6 linked regions of the Rattus norvegicus genome follow. The protein of the gene in region 2 interacts with the protein of the main gene of each other region in a pairwise test. Links are inferred from orthologs where the notes say so. Each region holds a gene or a part of one and is shown on either strand. Other genes may lie near its edges.

Evidence for each region.
Region 1: the proteins of Pitx1 (region 2) and Dvl3 interact in binary tests that used the Homo sapiens proteins (3 or more experiments, as listed by UniProt). The two-hybrid records come from large-scale screens. The link is inferred for Rattus norvegicus from reciprocal best matches to the Homo sapiens genes PITX1 and DVL3.
Region 3: the proteins of Pitx1 (region 2) and Ipo13 interact in binary tests that used the Homo sapiens proteins (3 or more experiments, as listed by UniProt). The link is inferred for Rattus norvegicus from reciprocal best matches to the Homo sapiens genes PITX1 and IPO13.
Region 4: the proteins of Pitx1 (region 2) and Spag8 interact in binary tests that used the Homo sapiens proteins (3 or more experiments, as listed by UniProt). The link is inferred for Rattus norvegicus from reciprocal best matches to the Homo sapiens genes PITX1 and SPAG8.
Region 5: the proteins of Pitx1 (region 2) and Maged1 interact in binary tests that used the Homo sapiens proteins (3 or more experiments, as listed by UniProt). The link is inferred for Rattus norvegicus from reciprocal best matches to the Homo sapiens genes PITX1 and MAGED1.
Region 6: the proteins of Pitx1 (region 2) and Trim23 interact in binary tests that used the Homo sapiens proteins (3 or more experiments, as listed by UniProt). The link is inferred for Rattus norvegicus from reciprocal best matches to the Homo sapiens genes PITX1 and TRIM23.

Annotation. Positions count from the first base shown.
Region 1 is NC_086029.1:93,884,104-93,888,199, forward strand, and holds the start of Dvl3 (segment polarity protein dishevelled homolog DVL-3), read right to left. Parts: upstream 2,801-4,096; 5' UTR 2,670-2,800; coding exon 2,509-2,669; intron 1-2,508. UniProt on the Homo sapiens protein: Involved in the signal transduction pathway mediated by multiple Wnt genes.
Region 2 is NC_086035.1:8,802,319-8,805,977, reverse strand, and holds the end of Pitx1 (pituitary homeobox 1), read right to left. Parts: intron 2,064-3,659; coding exon 1,518-2,063; 3' UTR 501-1,517; downstream 1-500. UniProt on the Homo sapiens protein: Sequence-specific transcription factor that binds gene promoters and activates their transcription. May play a role in the development of anterior structures, and in particular, the brain and facies and in specifying the identity or structure of hindlimb.
Region 3 is NC_086023.1:136,722,479-136,725,978, forward strand, and holds part of Ipo13 (importin-13), read right to left. Parts: intron 3,135-3,500; coding exon 2,997-3,134; intron 2,823-2,996; coding exon 2,726-2,822; intron 1-2,725. UniProt on the Homo sapiens protein: Functions in nuclear protein import as nuclear transport receptor. Serves as receptor for nuclear localization signals (NLS) in cargo substrates.
Region 4 is NC_086023.1:62,696,951-62,701,112, forward strand, and holds Spag8 (sperm-associated antigen 8), read right to left. Parts: upstream 2,715-4,162; 5' UTR 2,694-2,714; coding exon 2,656-2,693; intron 2,564-2,655; coding exon 1,789-2,563; intron 1,685-1,788; coding exon 1,510-1,684; intron 1,329-1,509; coding exon 1,283-1,328; intron 1,209-1,282; coding exon 1,094-1,208; intron 973-1,093; coding exon 910-972; intron 817-909; coding exon 625-816; 3' UTR 501-624; downstream 1-500. Other genes in the region: Npr2 (atrial natriuretic peptide receptor 2 precursor), read left to right, coding at 82-147; adenosine 5'-monophosphoramidase HINT2, read right to left, coding at 3,528-3,619, 3,722-3,794, 3,900-4,004, 4,110-4,162. UniProt on the Homo sapiens protein: Microtubule inner protein (MIP) part of the dynein-decorated doublet microtubules (DMTs) in cilia axoneme, which is required for motile cilia beating.
Region 5 is NC_086039.1:63,420,186-63,424,453, reverse strand, and holds the start of Maged1 (melanoma-associated antigen D1), read left to right. Parts: upstream 1-1,468; 5' UTR 1,469-1,569; intron 1,570-2,124; 5' UTR 2,125-2,153; coding exon 2,154-2,198; intron 2,199-2,895; coding exon 2,896-3,594; intron 3,595-4,145; coding exon 4,146-4,268. UniProt on the Homo sapiens protein: Involved in the apoptotic response after nerve growth factor (NGF) binding in neuronal cells. Inhibits cell cycle progression, and facilitates NGFR-mediated apoptosis. May act as a regulator of the function of DLX family members.
Region 6 is NC_086020.1:37,053,205-37,056,704, reverse strand, and holds part of Trim23 (E3 ubiquitin-protein ligase TRIM23), read right to left. Parts: intron 2,483-3,500; coding exon 2,348-2,482; intron 1-2,347.

The sequences.
Region 1 (4,096 bases), on a different chromosome or scaffold from region 2:
GCTGGCTGAGGTGCATGTTATGTCCCCAGTTTGCCAAGGCTTGCTATTCTCTGGAGAGAAAAGTCTATAATCTATGGCCATTTGCACAGTATTCCTCACTACTGTGACACACACACACACACACACTCTCTGACACCCATACACACAACACTCACTCACACACACATATACACACACTCATGCACACTCTCTGACACCCATACACACACATAAACACTCACACACTCATGCGCGCACACACACACACACACACACACACACACACACACACACACACACACATCTACAATGTGTGACCCAGACTTTAGATTTTGGAGTGAGAGTCCCCCATATCCAAACAAATTCTGTCATTTACTAGCTGTGTGATCTAGGGTCAGCTTTATTTAGGCCTTTAACATTCTAGCCTAATTTTCAAAGTGGGAAATTAGTGCCTATTTCATAGGCTGGTATGAGGACTCAAAGATGCAAGATGTACAAGTAATAATATATCACTATCAGGCAGACTGTATCATATGATGCACTTGTAAAATAAAAAATGAAATAAACTGTCAACAGGATCCTCTGCTGTCCTAACTTGAAAAGGATAGCCTTGCTGGGTCTTTTGCTCATTTATTCTTGGAGTTTGGGAGGAAGAAGCCAAATAATCACACCCACTTCATTCTTAGCATTGTTCTCAACCCTGATAGAACAGACAATGAATATTTTGCAAAGGGACCACAGGTAAATACAAAATGCTTCAAAGTGGCACATGATAAATGTTGCTTAGTTCAATAGTTGATTTAAAGAAAAATATTTCCCAACAGTGAGCAGATGCAATGGGAGCCCTCTTATAATTGTAGTTAGGTCTGCTCCCACGACAACCTCAGGAAAGCAGGAAGCAGCTCAGAGTGGTCTGCTTGGGAGGCAGAGGCAAGTGGGGGTGGAGATACAAGACTATTCTAATCCCTCAAGACATCTGGCCTAGCATATCCTGAAATATTATCCCAGCTCCTTCGAATAATAAGAAAGACCCTCTTCTTATTCCTCTCATGCCAGGTTGAGACACTCACCTCCTATCCTCAGTTCTTCCAGATACATCATTTTCAGGGTCTTTCAACCAGGTCTTCCTACTCTAAACTACAGCCAGACAATCATCACCACACACAAGAGTCTCATCCCAGGGCAAGAACAGATTTAGCAATAGTCAGATCAATTCTCCACTGTCCACACTCACACACACACACACACTCACACACACACACACACACACTCACACACACACACACTCACACACACATGCACACACACACACACTTTTAAGAGCTCATCAAATGTCGAGTTCCAGGGCAGAAAATGACAAATAGCCCAGAAGGAGACAGAAGGTGCTTGCCTCCTGGGGCTTGGAGGGCAGGGCTTAGGAGGGAAGCCAGACTAATGTACACTAGAGAGAATATCTCCCCTCACCCAGCTCTGGGGCCTCAGCTGCAAGCAGAGTGCAAGCCTCAGGCAAGTGCATCAGAGGGACCTTCAGGCCTTGGAGGGCCCAGAGAGGGGTGGGGTAGGGTGTGTGTGTGTGTGTATGTGTGTGTGTGTGTGTGTGTGTGTGTGTGTGTTTGCTCCATAGCCTATAAGTCCGCTGTCCAGTTAATGCAGGCAAGCCTCAGCCCCTTGGATAGGTGTGTGTGTGTGTGTGTGTGTGTGTGTGTGTGTCCCCTCTCAGGCCAGCTGCTACAGAACCCTCAGGCTCCAACATTCCAACCTCTCTTAAAGGGGCAGTCCCATCTTCCAAATTGCCCATCAAAAGCCCTGCAGCTGGGTAGGAAGGGGAAGACAAGAGAACACCAACAGGCCCTTCCAGGCTTTCCCATCCAGGCTCTGAAGCTCTATGTAGCATCTCCCCTGGGAACACCATCAGGAAAGAAAAGGCCCCAGCACCTGATTAGTGAAAACTCCTTCTCCGGGCCAGGCAACACCCCATCAGCCCAGGAGAGAGGAGAATCTACTCGACAAACATCAGGTCCAGCATCCAGCCTGGCAGAACAGCCCCCAATTCCTCCTTCTCCAGTTCCAAGTCCCACCAGCTACAGCCCTAGATAGAGCACACTCCAAATAAGGATCTGAGTTGCAGAGCTCAGAGGACTGGGAAGGCAGACCGAGTGTCAGTTTAACTCCAACTCTATGCTTAAAAGGTGGCACCTGGAAGGACTGAGAACTCTGGTTTTGGAGTGGAAAGGATGTATGTCTACGGCGGGCCGCTGGACCGTGGGGAGGTGAAGGGGCTTAAATGATAGGAACCAATTGCTTAGGGAGGGACGTCCCGCTGGGCTGGGGGGTGGGGTGGGGGAGGCAAGGCCTCCAAGAGATGACTGGGAGTCCCTCAAAGTCAAGAGGGTCCCAAGTCACCGAGTCGCTCCTTGCTGGAAGCGGGGTTAGAAACCAGTGCAGCGAGGGGAGTCGGAACTGGCCGCGTTGGCCCCTAGCAGCGGAGCGACCCGAGCTCCCGGGAGGCGGGGCGGGGGCCATCCTCACCCAAAATCGTCGTCCATAGACTTGAAGAAGAACTTATAGCTGGGCCGCTGCAAAACGCCCTTAAAGTCCGCCAAGGTGACGCGCTCGGCGGGCAGGGGCAGCTTCACTAGGTACGGCGTCTCCTGGCCGTCCAAGTGGTAGATGATCTTAGTCTCGCCCATGGCTCCGGCCTCGGCCCCGCGGCGTGCGGCCTGCTTGGGCAGCGGGGCCGGGCCTCTCCGACAGAGCTCGGCGCTCGGCGAGGCCCGCTGCTTAGCCCCGCTCAGCCGCCGGCCGGGGCGCCAGCTCCCTTGTTCTCCGGCCGCTCCCGGGTCCCAGCGCCGCCCGCCACCGCTTCCGCTCCCCACTCACAGCGCTCGGCTGGCGACCGCGACTCTTCCGGTGGCCTCGGCCCTCCCGGCTCTGGGCCGAGCCCAGCGCGGCTCCGCCCCGCCGCCGAGCGGCGCTGGCTGCTTGCCGCAGACTGCCCGCCCACCCGCGGGGCGGCGCTCGCTTCCTTGTGCTCCTGGATCAGGCTGCTGGACCTGGAAGTCTCACCCCGGTGGGCCCAGGGGAACGGTGGGCCGGCTCCCTGGCTGGAGGGGAGGGATGGAAGATAAGTGTCACCTACTGCGGAAGAAAATAGATTTGAAGACCTAACTGGTTCCCTGGAGGGGGGTCGCTTCGACTCGGATCTCTGGATTTTGCTGACAGCACAGTTGCTGTGACCGGACTGTACTGAGTTCCTTGAGGGCTGAGCAAGTTTAAATTTTTATCCCTGTAATCTCAGCGTCTCTATGAGCAAGTAGTTTGAGTAATGGATTGGCGGGTGTGGTGGTGCTTGCCTTTAATCCCGGCACTCGGGAACGAGAGGCGGGTGGCTTTTTGTGAGTTCAAGCCAAGCCTGGCCTACAGAGAGCTCAAGACCCCAGCAGGACTAGGTAGAAAAGTCCTGTCTCTCTCTCTAAAAAAAGAAAAAAGAAAGAAAAAGAAAAGAAAAAATGCGAGCTAAGAAAAAGAGCAAGCAGTCAGGTGTGGTAGCAAATGACTTTAGTCTGAACACTGGGGAGGCAGGCAGATCTTTGAGTTGGAGGCCAGCCAGTCTACAGAGCGAGTTCCAGGACTGCCAGGGCTACACAGACAAACTCTGTCTCAACTCCCACCCTGATCCCCAAGTAAAAAAAAAAAAACAAAAACAAAAAACAGAAAGCGTAGACATACATGATCGATGATTGGGACAGTAGATGTTAAAAACTAGGTATAGTCAGTCAGTTGGTGGTTCAGCTTCTCAGCTGTAACAATGTATGTCAGGAGTGGCTTCAAAACTCCTGGCAATTCTCCTGCCTCAGGCTTCTGAGTTCTGGGATTACATCCCTGCATTTCAGGACCCATTTTAATCACCTCTTCTGCTCAGAAACCTTCACATTACCCAATATGCCTTTCATATACCCTCAACATGATACACGAGGTCCTTTATAATCTGACACCTACTTCTCTAGACTTCTTGTTACTTCAAAACCAAATTTTTATTATAGGCAGAAAGCAATCAGTAGTAGTTATATCTTTTCAGTTTATATCCTTCATTTATCTTTTTCTCCAAGTAATGTCT
Region 2 (3,659 bases):
CCAGAAGTTGAGATCGAGAAGTGAGAAGTGAGCCCTGGGTGGACACACTTTCTCTCAGAGTCGCATGCCCCTGGCTGGAAGCTAGAGAGTAATTGGGGCGCTAGGAGAACAGGCAGAGGCTAGTCCAGCTAGACTGTGGAACATCCGGTGCCGGAGCTGGGCTCCAAGGAGGATGAGGGGATGAGGCCATGGGAGAACAGGGAGCTCCAGTCCTAAACGGTGCTCAGAGAGTGCACCCCTACGATCTAGGTCATAGGTGTTCTCAACACCCTAGGAATCTGAGGATCAAGCAGGCCCAGCTCGGAGAGTTGGGTTCCTAAGGAGGAGAGGAATCTCCACCAGATTGCCTGTCACTGCAAGAAGGGGCAGGTCAAGAATAGTGTTGGGGAACCCCTGCCACAGGTCTTCCCTCTACCACCCCCAGGGTCAGGGAGACTCCGTTCTCAGTGCGGCGCGCTGGCCTCCCTTTTCAGTTGAATGAAGCAGCCAGGGCTCAGTGGTGCTTAGCACGCTCCGACTATGGTTTTAATAGACGTACATGGACAAGTCGATATAGACAGATTTATAATTCTATACAGTCAGTCCGACATACACAGGGACGCTGTAAACGGGCGCGGGCCAGAGAGCGGGTGTGCAAAGTGGGCGGGGGCCCTGGGGCTGTGGCCCCGCGCTCTCCTGGCTCGACTCTTGCACGGGTGAGCAGTGAGGAAGGGGCTGTTCACTGGGCCACCTCCTGGACCCGTAGTGGAGCAGAGGGCCGGGCTGGCGGCTAAGCTGGGGCTGGGGAACTCAGAGCTGAGCCCTTCCCCTCCTGCTGCGGACTGGCCACGGCCAGCTGCGGCTCAGTGGCCTGAAGTGTGCGGCTCCAGAGCTCAGGGCTGCTGGGCTCTTCTGGCATCCCGAGGCCTTAGGCTAATCCGGCACACCGGATCCCCATCAGCGCTGTCATCCCCAGCCAGGCTCAAGCTCCAACAGTGATCCGCGCTGCATGCACTCGGACGGCCCAGGCTAGGAGAGGGTGCCTCGGGTTTTTGATCGGGTGAACGATCCCAGGGCCTCCAGGCTCCCTACATTCAGTTCACGGGTTGAGGCGCTCCGGCAGGGACGAACGGCGTCTTCTCCGAGCCACTTTGGCGCTGGCTTCCCCCACGCCACATCCCCTTGGTGTAGTGGACAGTTGGGGGTCGAGGGTTCGAACGCACCACCTGCGCCATCGCCAGGGACATTGCAACTCACCCCCACCCCCAGCATTTTTCTCCGATGTCCTTTTTTTAAAATTTTTTTATTTTTTTTGCTTTCTCTCCCCCACCCCCTCCCTTGGCTTGATTTTTTTCCCTTTTTTATTCATTGGGGGCAGAGCGGGGTCCGGAAAAGCAAACACAAAACCAACCTGGAGGCAGGGTGGGGAGGAAGGGGCTGCGCAGAGGTGAGGTCCCAGGTGCTGCGAGCGCCCCGTGTGCTCCGCGCGCTCCCGCTGCGCCTTGCCGGCCGGCGGCCCCGGGGACCCGGCGGGGCGGTCAGCTGTTATACTGGCAGGCGTTGAGGCCCGACGCTGGACCCTGCAGACCGCCGTAGCCAAACGAGGAGTGCTGCTTGGACTTGAGCCGCAGGCTGGCGAGGCTCGAGTTGCACGTGTCCCGGTAGACGCTGTAGGGCGAGGCGGGGGTGCCGTAGGGGCAGGCGCCCGGCGACATGGCCGAGTTGAGCGAGGAGCCCGTGAGGTTGTTGATGTTGTTGAGGCCCGAGTTGGGCATGCCGGGCACGGAGCCCGGGCCCATGCTGGATGGCATGGTCATGGAAGAGATGGAGCTGGGGGCCGAGAACATGGACTGAGAGGATAGCGGACTCATGGAGTTGAAGAAGGTAAAGCTCTTGGTGGACAGCGGCGCCGGTGCCAAGCTCTTGGCGGCCCAGTTGTTGTAGGAGTAGCCGGCGGCGGCGTACACGTCCTCGTAGGGCTGCACCAAGCCGCTGAACTGCGGCACGTAGCCGCCCTTGCACAGGTCCAACTGCTGGTTCCGCTCCCTCTTGCGCCACTTGGCTCGCCGGTTCTTGAACCAGACCTGGGGAAGCCAGCGGGAGAAACGTCAGGGCCACGGTGGTGGCCGGGAAGGACCCTCATCCCCGACCTGAGACTCTGTAGCCCCCTCTCCTAACATCCCGCCTTTTCTTCAGCCTCTGCCGAGTTTTTCCGTAATGGTTCCCTTCCCGTCTCCAGAAAATAGGAGCCCTCTCCCTTTTCCCCAGCTTTTTAAAAATTCTCTTCCCCGAGTTAAATTTATTTTCTTTTCTGACTCAGATTCTCTTTTGTTTGAACAAATATTCGTTTTCTTCCCCTCCCTCAACCTGTCTTCTTTCTGTCATCTCCTTCCAAATGGGGCACCACTACCCTCTTCTTAATAGTTCAATCCGATTTTTTCTCTCTCAAACACAAAAAGTATTTTTCTTCCCCGAAACTGACCGTCTCCGACTTTTCAGACGAGTTTCGTTGTTCAAATATTTTATTTTCATCCGTATTTATAATATTTAATAGTTTTCCTCCTGCCCAAAATGTAAAATTTTGTTCACTTCTTGACTATCTAAACTCGTTTGTTTTTCCTTTATTTCTTGTCCCCGTTTTATTCTTTTCTAAATATTTAATTTATCCCTTCTTTCCAGATCTCTGACCCCCACTGTTTCCCTTAAATAGTTGATCCTTTCTTTTTCTAAACGCTCAACCTCTTTGCTTCCCTTAAATATTTAATTTCTTTCCTGCTGCTTAAATATATCCCAAATACGTTTCTCTGCAAATATTTAATTTCCGTAAGTTTACTAGTTTCTCTCTAGCCTCCACCTCTGTTTTCTCCTACAAAATTTGTTAAGGGCCACTTTTCTCTCCCGACCACGTCCTCCCCAGCTTCCCTGATCTTCCCACCGTTGGCCCCCTGACCTCCTAGCTCGATCTTCAGCCCAGAACCCCTAGACCCCAGCCTTTCCCAGGCCCTGATTCTGTCTACTCAACCCCACACCATCCCTACCCCCATAAACCTCGGCAGGATTAGTGAGCTCAGAATTACAGGGTGAGGGTCTGCGCCCAGGGTCCCACTGGGTCAGACCAACCTCACCGGGGAGGGCTGAAGGTTGGGCTTGTGGCAGGGGCTCTGTGCATCAGGTGGGACTTTGGTCTGGCCCGAGGAGTGCTCCCAGTGTCTGATTAAATATTTGCCCACCCAGGGAAGAAACGATTTCCTTCCTACGCCTGTAGGAACGTGTAGCATTTGCTGGAAACTGGGGGAGGTGCCAGAATACAGTACGGCCTTGGGTCTGGGACCTTACGTCTGAAAAGTGTAGTGGGAGGGCCACTCGCTACCAGTGTCCCTGCTCCACATGACCCCCAGACCTACAGTGGGAAGGGGCATTGGGCAAAGGTCCAGCTAGTACCTGGCTGACTGTCCAGGAAAGATGGCGAGTATTCCAAAAACAGATTGGAGAAGGTAAACTCAGAATGAGATCACAGCTCCAAGAAGTTTGAGATACCCCACTCAAACACCTTTTCGGGCCTCTCTGGGGCACTCAGGCACGAACTGCCTTTCCCTTTCATTTTCCAGGGGTTGAAGGCTTAGAGCTCCCGAGGTCCTTAGCGGCAGAGAATCCTCTGCCCAATCTCTGGCTCTGAGTAA
Region 3 (3,500 bases), on a different chromosome or scaffold from region 2:
TAGTTATGTGGGACTGAGAGCCTGCGGGAGGCAGCATGGGGCACATGAGCAGCAGGAAGCAAGATAAAGAAACAAAACATACAAAAACCATGAACTGGGAGAAGCCCAACAGAAAGAGACGGCAAAGTGAAGGACGGGCCTGCCCCAGCTCCCTCAGGGCCTGCCACCTACTCCCCGTTCCACCTCAAGCCAGTCCCCGTAGTGATCTCTTGGTGCTCAAACGATTCTAGATTCCACAGGGTTAGGGATCAGTCTCCACACTCTTGCTGTGACTGACTGGCTGGGGCGGCCCTGCACTGCCTCTTGGTATATACTTCCCTATCACAGCCATCTAAGTGGAGGGCACAGCTGGTGTAGGTTGGTCCATGGCACTTCATTTTGAGGCTTGGCTGAAAGCCCTAAAAGTCCAGGGCATGAGATCTTGATTAAGTGTCCCTTTCAGTTTGATGGCTTTAGGGCTCTTGGTCTGGCTAAGATTGTAGGTTGATGCCAATATGCAGTGAGCACCATGAGAGTTCTGTTTGCTTAAACTGAAGTGCTCTTACTTGGACAGGGCAGGCCTCTGGGTGTACAAGGCTGCCCAGCCATCGGTAGGGCCAGGGGAATAAACTGCATCATAAGGCGTGAGAGAGCCCCATCCCAGCAAAGTCCCTCCACATGGCATAGACTTGGGAGACAGCCAAACTCAGGGCTGAGAACAGCTCCCAGGATCTGACACACCATAAGGGGAAAACAGTCATTGTGTTGCCCCATGCATGACCCAGCGGGAAGACAAAGGCTTGAGAAAGACTGAAACTGGAATAGCAAAACAGGTATGGGGACTCTCCTACCCAACAAGACAACCAACGACTCTGACAAATAACAATGTTGGCCATCCCTGCCTCAGCTTTGACTATTCCTGGAGTAAGAAGAGTAAGGCATGCACCTGCTGCTCCTGCCTGGGCTTCTTCGCTCTCAGTAGGATGCAGCAGAAAGGCATCTGCCTGAGACCACTGAGTAGCTGTGTGATCTTGTGTAAGCCACGGGTGCTCTGTCTCCCCATCTGTGACACATAACCTCTCCTTTGTCTTCTTCACCAGGCTACTAGAAACCCCGACCTGAGGCGGATCCTCTATCTCTGAAATCTACGCTGCTTAGGTCTTAGAAAGGTCTGATGTGCCATTAGAACAGTGTGGTCAGTGTACGGTTCCCTTCCTGCTTGGGCCAGATAGTGTGGAAGAAAGGTTCTGGGGCAGGGAGCCCTCCCTGATTCGCCAGTGTCTGAGAGTGGCCTCCTTCTGGACACAAGGAATATAGTGGAGAACTGTGGTAGAGAAGATGTGACCCTGACCTAGAGGGTTCAGTCCATGAAGTGACAGACATGGAGATTATTAATTCCGTGGCCTGTGCTCTATATCAGCAGTGTAAGTATGGTGGGGTTTTCACAAATAGCTGCAAGTGCCCAGTTCTATCTCAGAGTCACCTGTCTGAGGAGTAATGCCTGCCTTCTGTCTAGGGCATCAACTCCAGTCAGGGGCATACGCTTTCCATTTGGAGGAGCAGTGCGCAGAGTTCAAATAGGGCATGGTAATGAGTGAGAGTCAGAGTGGCCGAATTGCTCCCGTCAGGAGAGAACCTCAGAGATTCACCAGAGCTTGGTCCTGTGGGAATGTGACAATAACCAGAGGGCGATGAGGAGTATCTGAAAGGGTTTTAGGCCAGAGAGGAAAAATGATCATATTAGTGTTTTATGAAGTACAGTATGCTGGATGCTGGATGGGTTGGAGAGAGGGGTGCTTGTGAATGGAGGAGTTTATGGTGTTAAGTGAGGCAGAGCCTAAACTGAGAAAGGGCTCATAGAGGGGGAGGAGGAGTGGACCCACTGAGGGATGAACAGACCCAAGATCACTGGGACTCATTCAGAAAGGGGGCACAAGGAGTAGAGAGGTGGAGTGGAGGACAGTCTGGATCTGCTCTGTGGCCCACAAGGGACCAGACACTAACCATATGTGTGTGATACAAGCACTCTGGGCTCCAGCAGACACTGCTTGGCCTCAAAGCTCAAATCCAGACTAGGCTCATGGGGCTGACAGAGTAGCCTTGCTTCTGTGCCTGGTTAAAACCCAGGTTAGACAGGAAGCCTGAAGGCCAGTTTCCAACTTTCTTAGGCAGAAGGCCACAGAAAGAGGGCCTGGGACTACCCCTGAAAGCACTTTGGGCTCAGAAAAGACTAAACTTTAACACAAAAAGAGGAATCAGCACTTGAGCACTTCATATGCAAAAGTCCAAGCCAGGACCCAAGGAACCGGAGTCCCTGAGCTAACATGGAAACAAGGCTCAGTGAAGGGATGTGACTTGCCCAAGGTCACACAACTAGTTTGGTGGTTATTCCTTAGACTCTTAAGTCTACCTGGTTTCAAAGCCCATGCTCCTCCAACTTCTTATAATATCCCAATGGCAATGAGCCAGACTAGTGCCCCAAGTCACTCAGAGTCTGAGCCCAGCTTCCGGGGTATCCAGGCTGGCCTGGAACGCAGGCAGGCTGTAAGATACCACTTGCCGTTTTATCCACTTCACCCTGAAGTGTCAGCTACTTGTAGGTAACGATTGCACTGTGCTTCGTCCCCCAGGTTTCCCATCAAGTCCCACCTGTGACCAGGGTATCGAGAACAGAGTGGGGTAGCTTTGGCTCCCCAGTGGGGGAAGCAGAGGCAGTGGTGGTAGAGAGACCCTGCTGGGCACTTACCTTGTTGGAAGAGAGAGAGTGTGACGGAGGTCACCAGCAGGAAGAGGGCCTCTATTGGGGGAAAGTGGGCAGGCTCGTGGGCAAAGATGTGGACCAACTACAACAAAGCAGGGGAGGCTGGTGAGCTGAGGTCCCTTCACCAGGATGGATCAACATCCCTGAACACAGGTGGGGACCCCAGCCATGCAGCCACCTGACACACTCCCACCCAGGGACAGGTCTCTAACAAGATGACATCCACAGCACCTACTGCCCAAAGCAGATGGCTTACCTGTCGAGTGAGGTCAAGAGCAGAGGCCTGGGGAACGGTGCTGTACATCCGACCCAGCATCTCACAGAGCTGTGGCACCATGGGGGCAAAGTCATCCAGCAGTGTCTTAACAGACTTCTCAAAGATGGCACACACCGCCTGAGGAAGAAAGCAGACAGACCCTGTCAGAGGGTCATGGGAGGGAGGCCTAAGAAAGGGCCTTTACCCAGCAGTCTAGCCAAGCACTGCAAACCAAAGAATGTGAGTACCCTATTCCTTGGGTTGAAAAGAAGGGGCAAAAAACTCTCCACAAAGGAGCATGGGCTCAAACTGTGCCACTGAATTCCCGCTACTGACTTCGCCACCATTTCTTCTCAGAGGACTGTAAGAGTAACCAAAATCTCAATTTAGGAGCCAAAGCCAGGTCTCTGACACTACGACAGACATCTACGACTTGGCCTACGGTCACTATCCTCTGACCAAGCACTTCTGTGCTACTGGAGCAGTGGTGGTCCGGGGAGGGAG
Region 4 (4,162 bases), on a different chromosome or scaffold from region 2:
GAGGATGAAAGTAGGGGATGAGAGGGAGATAAAAGCACTGACGCAGAAGGGTCTCAACTATGTTCGTTCCCCTGCCTCCAGGGAAAAGGAAAAATGCGAACTTATTGGCTCTTAGGAGAGCGAAAAGGACCTCCTGGACTCCTGTAAATCCCAAGCAGACAATTTCTTGCTGTTGGTACTTGGATGGGCAATGGTCACTGTGTCTCCACTTGACAGAAACAGACGTCATATGAGATGGAAAATATGCATATACACAATCCCCCTGCCTTATCTGGAAGTCATATAAGCCCTCTGCCGCTCAGCCTTGTACATATGCCTGCCCCTCCCTATCTTGGTCCTCTTCCTGCCTTCTGTAAATACCTGTATCTAGACCAGAATATTTTGTCCAAGTATAAAACAACAACAACAAATCATGGTGTCATTGTCTGGGGTCCAGGCCATTCCAAGAGAAGAATACTGAGTGTGGGCACACTTACTCACAGAATCAATGAATTAACAGCTGCAGGATGAGAGTGCTTTATGTAAAACCTACATCAAGGACAGAGAATCAACTCCATCCAAAGTACGTCTGTAGTATAAATAGAAATGGATTCCAAATCCCATGTCTGCTTCCCACCTCAATACTTAGAATGGAGTTGTTCTCTTCCTTCTATCCCCCTGCCCTCCCTGACAGGCAAGGGAAGACATTACCCCCATTTGGTGGGGGCTGTTCTCCAGTTCGTAAGGCAAAGGCTGCCCCAGCGACAAGGATGCTGGTGTTGAGAAGCTGTAGTTCTTCCGGAATGGAGTGTCCAGTGTCCTGATGCTATTGACACCCTGGAGGAGTGCCAGGATCAGGAAAGGTGCCACCCTTCCCCAAGCCAGATTAGAGCCTCTCCTGCACCCCAGTACCTAGTGACCCCCACACACCCGTAGCTGTGCTGCGTGCTGTATCCAGAAGGTTTCAGGCTGTTCCTGGCGGTAATCATGAGGCTGTGAGGGAAGAGATACTGAGTAACTCCTGCCCCTTGGCGCTCTCTAAACATCTGGGCTTGCTGCTTTCCCACTCCTGGGCAGAGCCGAGCTATGCAAGCAGGGCAGGCTGGGTTCTCACCTTTGTTGGGGCAGGAGGCCCTGTTCCTACCAGCTCCACTCTGTAGTCATGGTGTGTTACCGACTCGGTCTCAGAGAGTTTCCTTGTAGGCTCCTGCTCTCTCTGCACCTCTTTACTATGTAGCCATGGGAGAGGTCAAGACCCTTTTCCCAGTTTCTCTCCTCCCCTTCCCCCTTCCCTGGTTCTCACCAGATCTGGTGTTGCAGGAGTATCTCCAGCATGGCTTCACGCTTCCCTGCGGGAGGACAGAAGAGAATCTAGTCAAGTACTAGCTCTAGAAATGAGTTGAGGAAAGAAGGGGAATCTTGGGGTTTGCCCTTATAGCCACCAAACAATCCACGCTCCCACCAGAAAAGTCCTATCTCCTTTTCTGCCTCCTGGGCTCTTTCTGGTCCCCCGTTTCTCATGCTTCACACCTCGAAGTGGATAACAGGTGTGTCTTGGGAGCTGGTATGAGTCTTTCTGGGTGGTGCTAGAAGGCATGGGCAACTGAGGTTGCAAGGTCAGCAGACCCTGGTGTCCGTGTCGGAAGAAATAACTCTCTGAGCCGTCTTGCAATGGTGGGATTTGATCCAGCTGGTTGGTGGCTCTCTGTGGACCCCATGTTAAGTAACTGTGAGTTCCCTTTCTCACACTGACCCTCATCACAAACTACTGGCTTCCCTAGGAAGAGAGAACAGACCAAACCTTCCTACCTCTTCCTGCCAGTTGTAGAGGAGACACTGGCCACGTGGCTGTGCTTTGCAGAGAATTTTCTCATATTCAACCTCTGGACGTTTACGTGGCCCTCTTACTCCAGGTTCCCTGACTTGTACAGGTTCCCAGGTGTGTTGCGGCTTCCAGTGTATGTTCTGACCCCAATTAGGGAACAGATCTATTGGGATGCATTTGAATCCTTGAGGAATGTAGGTCCTGAGCTTAGTTCCAGGTACAGGCTCAGCAGGCTCAGGTCTAGGAGGAAGACCGGGTCCAGGGGCAAGAGCAGTTCCAGAGGAAGAAGAATCGGGTCCAGAGACAGAAGCAGGTCCAGAGACAAGACTAGGTCCAGAGACAGGAACAGGCCCAGAGGTGGGACCCGAGCCCTGGCTAGGCTCAGAGCTAACACCAAAACAAGGGCCAGAGCCAGAGACAGAGCTATGAACAGAGCTATGGCAAGGATAAGAAGTGGCAGGATCAGGGTTTGAGCTGAGGTCTGCGGTATTACAGGGATCCCGAGGAATATAAGAAACATAGAGGGGCTGAAAGCCAAACCTCCCATGGCCCCTCGGATGGGGTGCGGGGCAGGTTGCTTCATAAAGACTGTCAGAGGAGGGATCTGTAAACACACAATACGGCGAAGGAACTCCTCGACATACTGCAGATGATGGGGCAGCTCCGGTCTGTACGGTAGGCTTAGGACTGCTACCCGAAGAAGGAATGGGTTCTGAAGTGGACTCTAGTCCTTCAGAGCTGGGCTGTATATCAAAAGATCTGAAAAAAAACAAAAACCCCGAATTCATCAAGGTTGTCAAAACTGCTGCAAAGTTAGTCCGTTGACCTCCCTTGTTCTCTTTGGCTCTTACCGTGTCAAAGATCCCTCTGTGGAGTCGGTGGTCTCCATTTTCAGACTCCGCCTACCGGGTTGCCATAGAGACGGCAAACAACTTGTTGAGACTGCGCACTAGAGCTGGGCGGACCTGGGGGTGGCCAGTAGGAGAAATAAACAAATACTTTCCACCGGCGGAAGTTTTAGACTTGGTGCTCTCCAATAGTCCCGGCTCCAATCTGCCTCACCTGGGCTTTTAACGTTCCACTAATCTGACCCCTCCCTCGCCTCCATGCCCATCTTGATTAGTTCTAAGGTGACTAGGGGATGCACTGGAGAAAAGCCCAGGATTGCATCAATATGAACTCCGGTTTGGTTCATTCCCTAAGTTGAAAGAGCAGTGTGTATTTTTTTTTTTATTTTAAACAGTTTAAGGATGAAAATATATGAAATAGGAGATGAGAATGCTGCTGTCTTCGGTAGGAGTGCTTGCTTAGCATGCCCAAGGTCCTGGATTCGATCCTTAGCACACATAGAGAGGCAGATAACAGCGAAATGGAAGGGAATATGGTACAATAGACGTGTCTCTGTCTAGTCATCCAGGCAAATTTCTACTGCTATTTTTTTTCCTAGTCGTTTGACCCAGAATGGACCATTAGACACTAGCAGATCTGCGCCATATACTCCTTTAACCACTGACTGGGTCTTACGATCTTTTATTCTGACTATGGTCAAGAGAGCTCATAGGCCCGAATCAATTTTCTTTCACCTTTTTGACATAGATTTGTTACATATTGAAGACAGGGATGCAAAATCGGAGGGGGAAATACGTTTATTAACATCACAGGATCCCTTTTCCGGTTCTCCATCCAAGCATCCAGGCCCGCGGTCCCAGGGCAGCTGGCAGGTTTAACCAGGTGGCCACTGCAGTTGCCGGCCTCCGAGTACGTGAATGTGCAGGTGGTACACAGATTGTGCGCCCATCTTCCCATCGTTAACCACTGAAACAGAGCTTGAGGTTAGGGACCAGGGTCACGGGAGGGCTGGAAACAAAAGAAAGATCACCATCGAGTTATAGGGATTCATGGTCAAAAGCCACTCACCAAGTCGATACCCATCTTTCAGACCCTCCGCCTGTGCTATCTTCTTGGCCACGAGGAGTAAGTGTCCTAGAAGCTAAGGGGAGAGGGCAGAGGCAGAGGTAGCTCTCCCCATAGGAGTCAAACCACTAGCTTCATCCACTGCTCCACCCAGACAAGCCACTGACCCTGTTCGCCTCACCTGTTGGTCGTCTTCTTCAGCCTGGCTAATTCGAGGAATGGGCTTTCTAGGAATGACCAGGAAGTGCACAGGAGCCTGAGGGGCTACATCTCGGAACACTAGGCACTGGGAGCGGTGACAGGTGAGAGATCAGTGTTACTTCCTCAGGCCATCAGGTGCCACTGCACCTGTGACATTCTTAAGAGGGCTGGGCCCTAAGGGGACCCCCACCTGCTGATCTTCATATAGAATGTCAGCTGGGAGGCTCCGGTCCAAAATCCGGG
Region 5 (4,268 bases), on a different chromosome or scaffold from region 2:
GGTTTGAGTCACCACATCTGTATGCCATTTTTCTGCGTTTGTTTCTCCAGCCATGTTGGCACAGCAGACTGTGTGTCCTTGGACACGACTCTCTTCCTGGGATTCCTATTTTGTGTAGTGAGTAAATTAGGCTCAGAGAGGTCCACTAAAGTGACCATGTCTCAGGGGCTCACACAGCCAGAGACAGATAGGCCAGACACTCATCTTGGAATTCTAAAGCCAAGCCCAGCTTCATTCCGCAAGAACAGGGCAGACACACCTGACTACCCTGGCTGCTCCAGCAGGCACCAAAAAAGCCCGCCGTCTCACTCCTGGAGACTGCCTGCCAAGAGGAGCACAGAGTGAACCTGAAGGGTTCCCACATACACCAGGCCTCCTAGAACACAAGCCTCATTCCCTTGGAACAAATATTGGGGAGAGGAAAGCTTGTTATTCCAATAGAGGATTAAGGAATGCCTCTATTCTCAGAGCAGATTTTCAGTCAGGATCATCCAGGCCCCACATGGATGTTTGTTTGTCTTTTAGATAAAGTCTCAGAGTTGCAAAGCTGGCCTAGAACTCGGTCTCCGGAGTGCTGGGATTACCAGTGTGTTTAAGCAAATATTGTCTTTTCTGTTTGTTACTAGCTCAATGCCCTGGTCCATACAGCGGGTTTACGTTTTAGCTACCTGACGTGTTAAATGAGAATGTTGACCTCCATCCATCTCCTGAGGCTGCCTGTGAGAAAACCAAGCTCCAGGACAGAGCCCACTGCCCTACGCCCTTCCCTCACCTCTCGGACCCACCCCTCACGAAATATTTCTTTGGCAAAAACTGCAAAAAGGGCGAGAGAAACGCTAATTTTCTGAGTCTCGTGAGAGGAAACCTATAGAATCCCCAGGCTGACCCTTGCCCTGGTAGCTCTGTCACGTTTTGTTTTTGTTTTTTTTTTTTTTTTTGCCCCTGCCTTTAAGGTTTCTGCATTGCAAAGTGCGTGAACTCAGCAGAGGCCTAGTTTGTGTCGAAATAAGAGACCCCCCGCAGAGGCCTACCTAAGAGGCTCTAAGCAAGTGGGTGGGAGGTAGTTGCGGACCTGGCTAGAGAGAGTTCGGGAAAAAGGGCGGGACTGAGAAGAGACGCATTGCGGATAAAGGTAGGGGGCTGGTGTGTTGGGCAAGGGGGTGGGACCAAAAGGCGCTGCGCATCTGTTGAAGGAGTGGATGCGTAAGGAGAAGGGGAGGAGGAACCTTTGTACACTGTCAACCTGGTTGGCGGTGGGATAGTGTGCTGGCAAAGAGGCGGGATCTCCTCCAAGTGCACATGCGCGACAAGGTCTCCAGGATGAAGCTTTTGTTGGGAAAGCAAGCGGGACTCTTATTTGGACAGTGATCTGTTGCGCATGCGCGGGGCTTCCTGAGGCGGTGGGTGGTATATTAGGCGAAGAGGCGGGGTCGCCCGAGCTGCCGCGCTGGCATTTTCTCCTGGACAAGGAGAGAGTGCGGGTGCAGAGAGCGGAGCAGAGCAGTCCCGATCCTCTGAGTCGTGAAGAAGGAAGCAACGAAGGGGGTTGGGGTTGGGGCCTGAGGCAAGGTGAGACCCGCCCCCGGACTGGGCATCTGCCCCCCTGGTGTGGCGCCCTTCCCCCATTCTTTTATCCCAATCCCCTTTCCCTGAATTCAGAAACCCCCTCCTCTGCCTTACCCCGGACTTACACCTCGCTCCCGACCCTTTCTAATTCGAACTCCCGTTCATTCCCTGAATCTTTATCCAATTCCTTCACTGAATCCTATTTCCCGACCTTGATCCGTTATACGATTCCTCTAGATTCAAAGCCTTAATTCAACTTTACAGACGCGAACCTCTCCCCGCTAACCGCCCCCCCCCCCGCCCCTGTAAACTACCGCATTCAGAGCGCTTATCTGATTCCAAACCGCGGATTTGAAGCTTTTACCTGTCAGCTTCTGGAAATTTTAGATTGTCTATCGGGACGACCATTTACTTTTCCCGCTTCAGTTAGGCCTGTTTCTCCCCGTACCCAGCACCTCACCCGCCCCCATAATCAAACCACACGCGCACACACAATTCGGTCCTACGTATTTTCCTTCTGTAGTATAATGCCTAGTTCCTCTCCCACACCCCCCTCAGGCTCTGCTCTTGCCAGAGAGACAAGAGCTATGGCTCAGAAACCGGACGGCGGTGCAGGCCTCCGCGGCTTCCAGGTGAGAACCCCGCTCCCAATTCCTCCATTTTCCTTGCTGACAGATTACGCCCACCCCTGGCCCCTCAGGTCGCGCAAATGGCAGGATCTGATTTTGCCCTTCTTCCGGCCTAGACTCCGCGGGCTCTCAAATTTCTAGCGTTTATCGAATAGGGGGGAGGGGCGGCCCTTTTCAGCCATCGGTCCCTGCTTAGAGAAAGGGGAGACCCTGTTAGTCAGGGCATTCTGCCCAGAGAATGCGGGTTGGGTAAGGAACCATTTTTTTTCCATAACCCTGACGCGTGTAGAGCAGTCTGTCGCCCCATCCCCCAACCTCTCGCCTCCACCCTCCCTTTCTCCACGCCGCGAGACTCCCCCTCCACCCTCCTCTGTTTATCCTCCTCAATTCCTCCGTCCTCAGGTCTTGAGCTCCCCACGGCAAGCCTCACGAGTCTGTCTCTAAACCCATTCGGGGTTCAGTGCTTGCACCACATTCCGCACCAGCCCCTGCTGCCTCCGACTGTCCCTCACCTTGCCCTGCCCCCTCTACCTTTAATTAAATTTTGTTCCCGCCCCGCCTCCCTTTGACCCGCCTCTGCCCCCATGTCTGAGTACTGTAACGCCTGTCTACAGTTCCCCTGCTGCGTTGCGCCGTGCCCCTCCTTCAGGTCTGGCTTGTAAGGCCCAGAGATTAAAATTTCCCCCTCCTGTATTTGCAGGCAGAGGCCTCTGTAGAAGACAGCGCCTTGCTTGTGCAGACCTTGATGGAAGCCATCCAGATCTCCGAGGCTCCGCCCACCAGCCAGGCCACAGCAGCTGCCAGTGGGCCGAATGCTAGTCCCCAGAGTTCACAGCCCCCAACTGCCAATGAGAAGGCTGATACTGAGGTTTCAGCAGCTGCTGCCAGGCCTAAGACAGGCTTTAAGGCCCAGAATACCACCACAAAGGGGCCAAATGATTACTCTCAGGCACGTAATGCCAAGGAGATGCCCAAGAATCAGCCTAAGGTGGCCTTTAAGTCACAGAATGCCACCTCTAAAGGTCCACATGCTGCCTCTGATTTTTCCCATGCAGCATCCACAGGCAAATCAGCAGCTAAAAAGTCTGAAATGGCCTTTAAGGGTCAGAATACCACTACTAAGGCTGGCCCCAGTGCCACCTACAATTTCACTCAGTCTCCCAGTGCCAATGAGATGACCAACAACCAGCCTAAGACAGCTAAGGCTTGGAATGACACCACTAAGATCCCTGGAGCTGATGCCCAGACCCAGAATGTAAACCAGGCCAAAATGGCTGACGTAGGGACCAGTGCAGGTATCTCTGAAACTGACGGTGCAGCAGCCCAGACCTCAGCAGATGGCTCCCAGGCTCAGAATGTGGAGTCCCGGACTATAATTCGGGGCAAGAGGACCCGCAAGGTGAGATCCCTGCTGGCTTCCCTTTGCTTTGAGGTCTCTCCTTTCTTTGAATTTCCTTTGCTCCAAACAAAATAAAGGGCACATATATATCTCTATTTTGGCAAAGTTGTAGGGGGAGCTGAAATAAATATTTATTCCTGACCCCCGGTTGTCCACAGATTAATGATGAGTTGATACAAGGACACAGGCAGTATGTGTGCAGACCGTCTTACATTTGACAGTAAACACCATGTCTTAAGCTAGGCAGGCTCACCCAGAATTATCATTAGATTTTGAAGATCCACCTCACAAGCAAGAGAGACCACAGTCAGGGAGAAATGAGTTCAGGGTGAAACCAAGCAGTGCACAGGAAAGGGAGAAACCCCGGGCTCCACTTTGTGTTTTTCTTTCTCTGGTTTGGAGATGAAATGCTTTCCTGAAAGACAGTGAGGAACCAAGTGGCTAATGGCTAGTGAGGTATAGGTGAGGATTCCTAGGGACTTCCTAGGATAGCTACTGGGGGTGCCAGGATTAATAGTGACCCTGAAATTTTCTTCTCTCTAATGATACAGATTAATAACTTGAATGTGGAAGAGAACAGCAATGGGGACCAAAGGCGTGCCTCGCTGGCTTCCGGGAACTGGAGGTCTGCTCCGGTTCCAGTAACCACTCAGAACCCACCTGGCGCACCCCCT
Region 6 (3,500 bases), on a different chromosome or scaffold from region 2:
GGGAAACCCATTTAGACGGGGAGGGGGAGGGACTAGGGGGACGTTGGCCCAGAAACTGGGAAGGGAATAACAATCAAAATGTAAATAAGAAATACTCAAGTTAATAAAGATTAAAAAAAAAAAGAAAAACCTTTGTGCATAACAGGTCATAATCATAAGTAAAAAAGAAATTTACCAAATGTAACAAAATATCTAGAAATCAAAAGCAGATATAGGATTGATAAATACCCAGGATACATAAAGAACTGTTAAACAACAAAAATTCAACCCAATTAAAAAGTGAACCAAGCTCTGATAAAACTGCTCATGACAAATGGACAAAAAGCATATGAAAAGAAACAAAGAAACAAAGAAATGCAAAACCCCACCCCAATAAGATAAAATCTCATACACAGTAAGATGGCTACGAACCCAAAATGTAGAAAAACAACAGTAAGATTTTGATATGTTAACAATATGTGAAATATCACAAAAATTCCTACTAACATAAAAACAAGGCTACAGATAGAGCTTGTGGCTAAATGCCTGCCTTGCATGGATTATTTGTATGGGTTCATGCCCAGCACTACATAAACCTGGGGTGCTGACACATGCCTGGAATGCCATTGGATGTTGAGTTGTAAGGACCATTAGCTCAATGTTATCCTTAGCTATATAGTATGTCTGAGGCCAGCATCAGCTACATATGACCCTTTGTCAAAACAAAATCAAAATTAAGATCTTTTAATTCAAAAACTTTACTACAGGATCCACTAATTTCATTTTTGGAGTATATCACCATAAGAACTGAAAATGGGGGCTTGAAGATACAGGAGGTGGAGAAAAATGGTTCATCTTTTAAAATGGCTTGCTACTCTTCCAGAGGACCTGGGTTAAATTTCCTGCACACATATGGCAGTTCACAACTCCCTGTAACTTCAACACTACCTTCTACCCTACATGTGCACTCCACACATGTAGTGCACAGACATACACCCCTACGCATATCTTTTAAAAGAATCTAAAATCCGGGGGCTGGGGATTTAGCTCAGTGGTAGAGCGCTTGCCTAGGAAGCGCAAGGCCCTGGGTTCGGTCCCCAGCTCCGAAAAAAAGAAAAAGAAAAAAAAAAAAAAAAAAGATGTGCACTTTAGTAAAAGGCAGTCCACCTTTAAAAATGGAAAAAGTAGGGTTGGGGATTTAGCTCAGTGGTAGAGCGCTTGCATAGCAAACGCAAGGCCCTGGGTTCAGTCCCCAGCTCAAAAAAAAAAAAAAAAAATGGAGAAAGTATGTAAAACAGGAACATTTGTCTCTAGCTTTTGAAAGAAGATGAGCTAAGAAAAACTCTAAATGGTCTTGTTTTTTATAGTGAACAGAGTGAAAAGCATCAGAAATCAGAGACAGAGGTGTACCTGAATGAATTCTGCACTGCAAATTGGGCTTTCAACTATGTAAACATTTTTTTTCACTTTAATGTGTTTCTAATTGAAATAAAATTATATCACGTTCATCTCTTTTATTTCATCCAGACCCTCCAAGCTACCCCCAACTCTCATTTATAGCCTCTTTATTTTTATTATTCTTTTTTATTGGATATTTTTATATTTGAATCTCAAATATAAAACCCTTTCCCGGTTTATGGAAACCCCTTATTCCCATCCTCCCTACCCTTTCTTCTATTAGGGTGTTCCTGTTTTAATTGTTTAATTGTTTCCTAAAAATAGGAAATAAAATAGAGTTCATGAATGTTTTTAAATCACTAGAACCCATTATAAAAAGGTATAATACTTCAAACACATTATCAGCCTTCTTTGGAGCCTCTCTCAAAACAAAAACAATTAGGAATTTGATTAGAAGCCAGGCATGGTGGCTTCTAATCAATAACACCAGCAATTGGGAGGCAGAGAAAGGAGGCTCAGGTTACAGAAAATCCAAGGCTAAGTGATAGTCTCAATATATTTTTACTTTGGAAAAAATTTGAGAAATTTTGAATTATTAGCTGAATACTTGATAGTACCAATAATGTATTAGAAATATAAAATAAGGGGTTGGGGATTTAGCTCAGTGGTAGAGCGCTTGCCTAGGAAGCACAAGGCCCTGGGTTCGGTCCCCAGCTCCGAAAAAAAGAACCAAAAAAAAAAAAAAAAAAAAAAAGAAATATAAAATAAATATGCTTTGGGTACAATTCCAATTAAACCAGGAAATAAGGTCAGAGACTTAGTCTCGTTTGTTTCTATTCCCCACTGATTGCAGCTTTTCTTTAAATTCTACAACTCATGAATTTCCTAGTGTTCTCTTTAAGTTGATTTCGATTTTCTGCTACTCACAATTTGCAGAAAGCATAAGTAAAAACAAAGGACAGCACATCACCTTTGTAAAAGTGACTGGAATACTGGCATCCAACTGAATATGATCTGCAACTTCTGTAAACTGCTGCTGCTGTTTCTGCAGTGTTTCTAATAATCTTGTGATTTCTTGTTTTGCCAAGACAACTCTGCAATCATCCTAGAAAACAAAATGGTATTTCCCATAAAGTTTTTCTTTTAAAAAATGGAGATTTTATCAACTTTCAACAAAAGACCTTTAACATTACAGCATTAAAACTAAATTTTAGGAGCTTAGCAGTTGGTAAAAGGCTTGCCTTACAAGCATGAGAACTCAAATTCAATTCCCAGAACCTATGTAAAAAGCCAGGTACTGTTGCAGAAAGGTAAGGTGTATTACATTGGTAAACTGTCATGTGTTGTTTGAGCTTACTGAGCGGCTGGCTCAGGAACTGGGGTTGCTTCCCCACTTCAGAGCCACGTCTGTTTACATTGTGTCTTCTAAGACCCCTTGTCTGGGAATGGAATGGTAACTTAACTGTGATAAGTAAGAAAGGGAACAGCAAAAGAAATAAAGAATGAAAATATGTCTTAGGATCCTATTGCTATGATACACCACCATAACCAAAAGCAACTTGGAGAGGAAGGGTTCATTTGAGCTTACAGTTTCACATCACAGTCCAGCACTGATGCAGAAACTACAGAGGAGTACTTACTGGCTTGCTCCCCATGACTTGTTCAGTCTGTTTTGTTATAGCATCCAGGACTACCAGCCTAAGGATGGCATCACCTACAGTGAGCTGGACCCACATACATCATCATCAATCAAAAAAAAAGAAAAACAAAAAAAAAAAAAAAAAACCTGTATCACAGGGTTGCCCACAGGCAGATCCAAAGTGGGGCATTTCCTCAAATGCAATCCCATCTTCCAAAATCACTTTAGCCTATGTAAAGTTGACATAAAACTAGCCAGCACACATCATGTTCTTAGGAACAGCTAGAAGAAAAATCATAATGTGTTACTATTGTTTACCCCATGATATAAGTGAAAGCAGCACAAAGTTCAACCACAGGAAGTTCATCCATGAAGAGAAAGCTCAATTGGAAACTCCAGCTGTCTGCCTTAACTTCTGCAGCTTATTTCTGCTGAATAGTATAAACACATAATTTGATGGATGTTTTGAGCACCCAGTTTAACA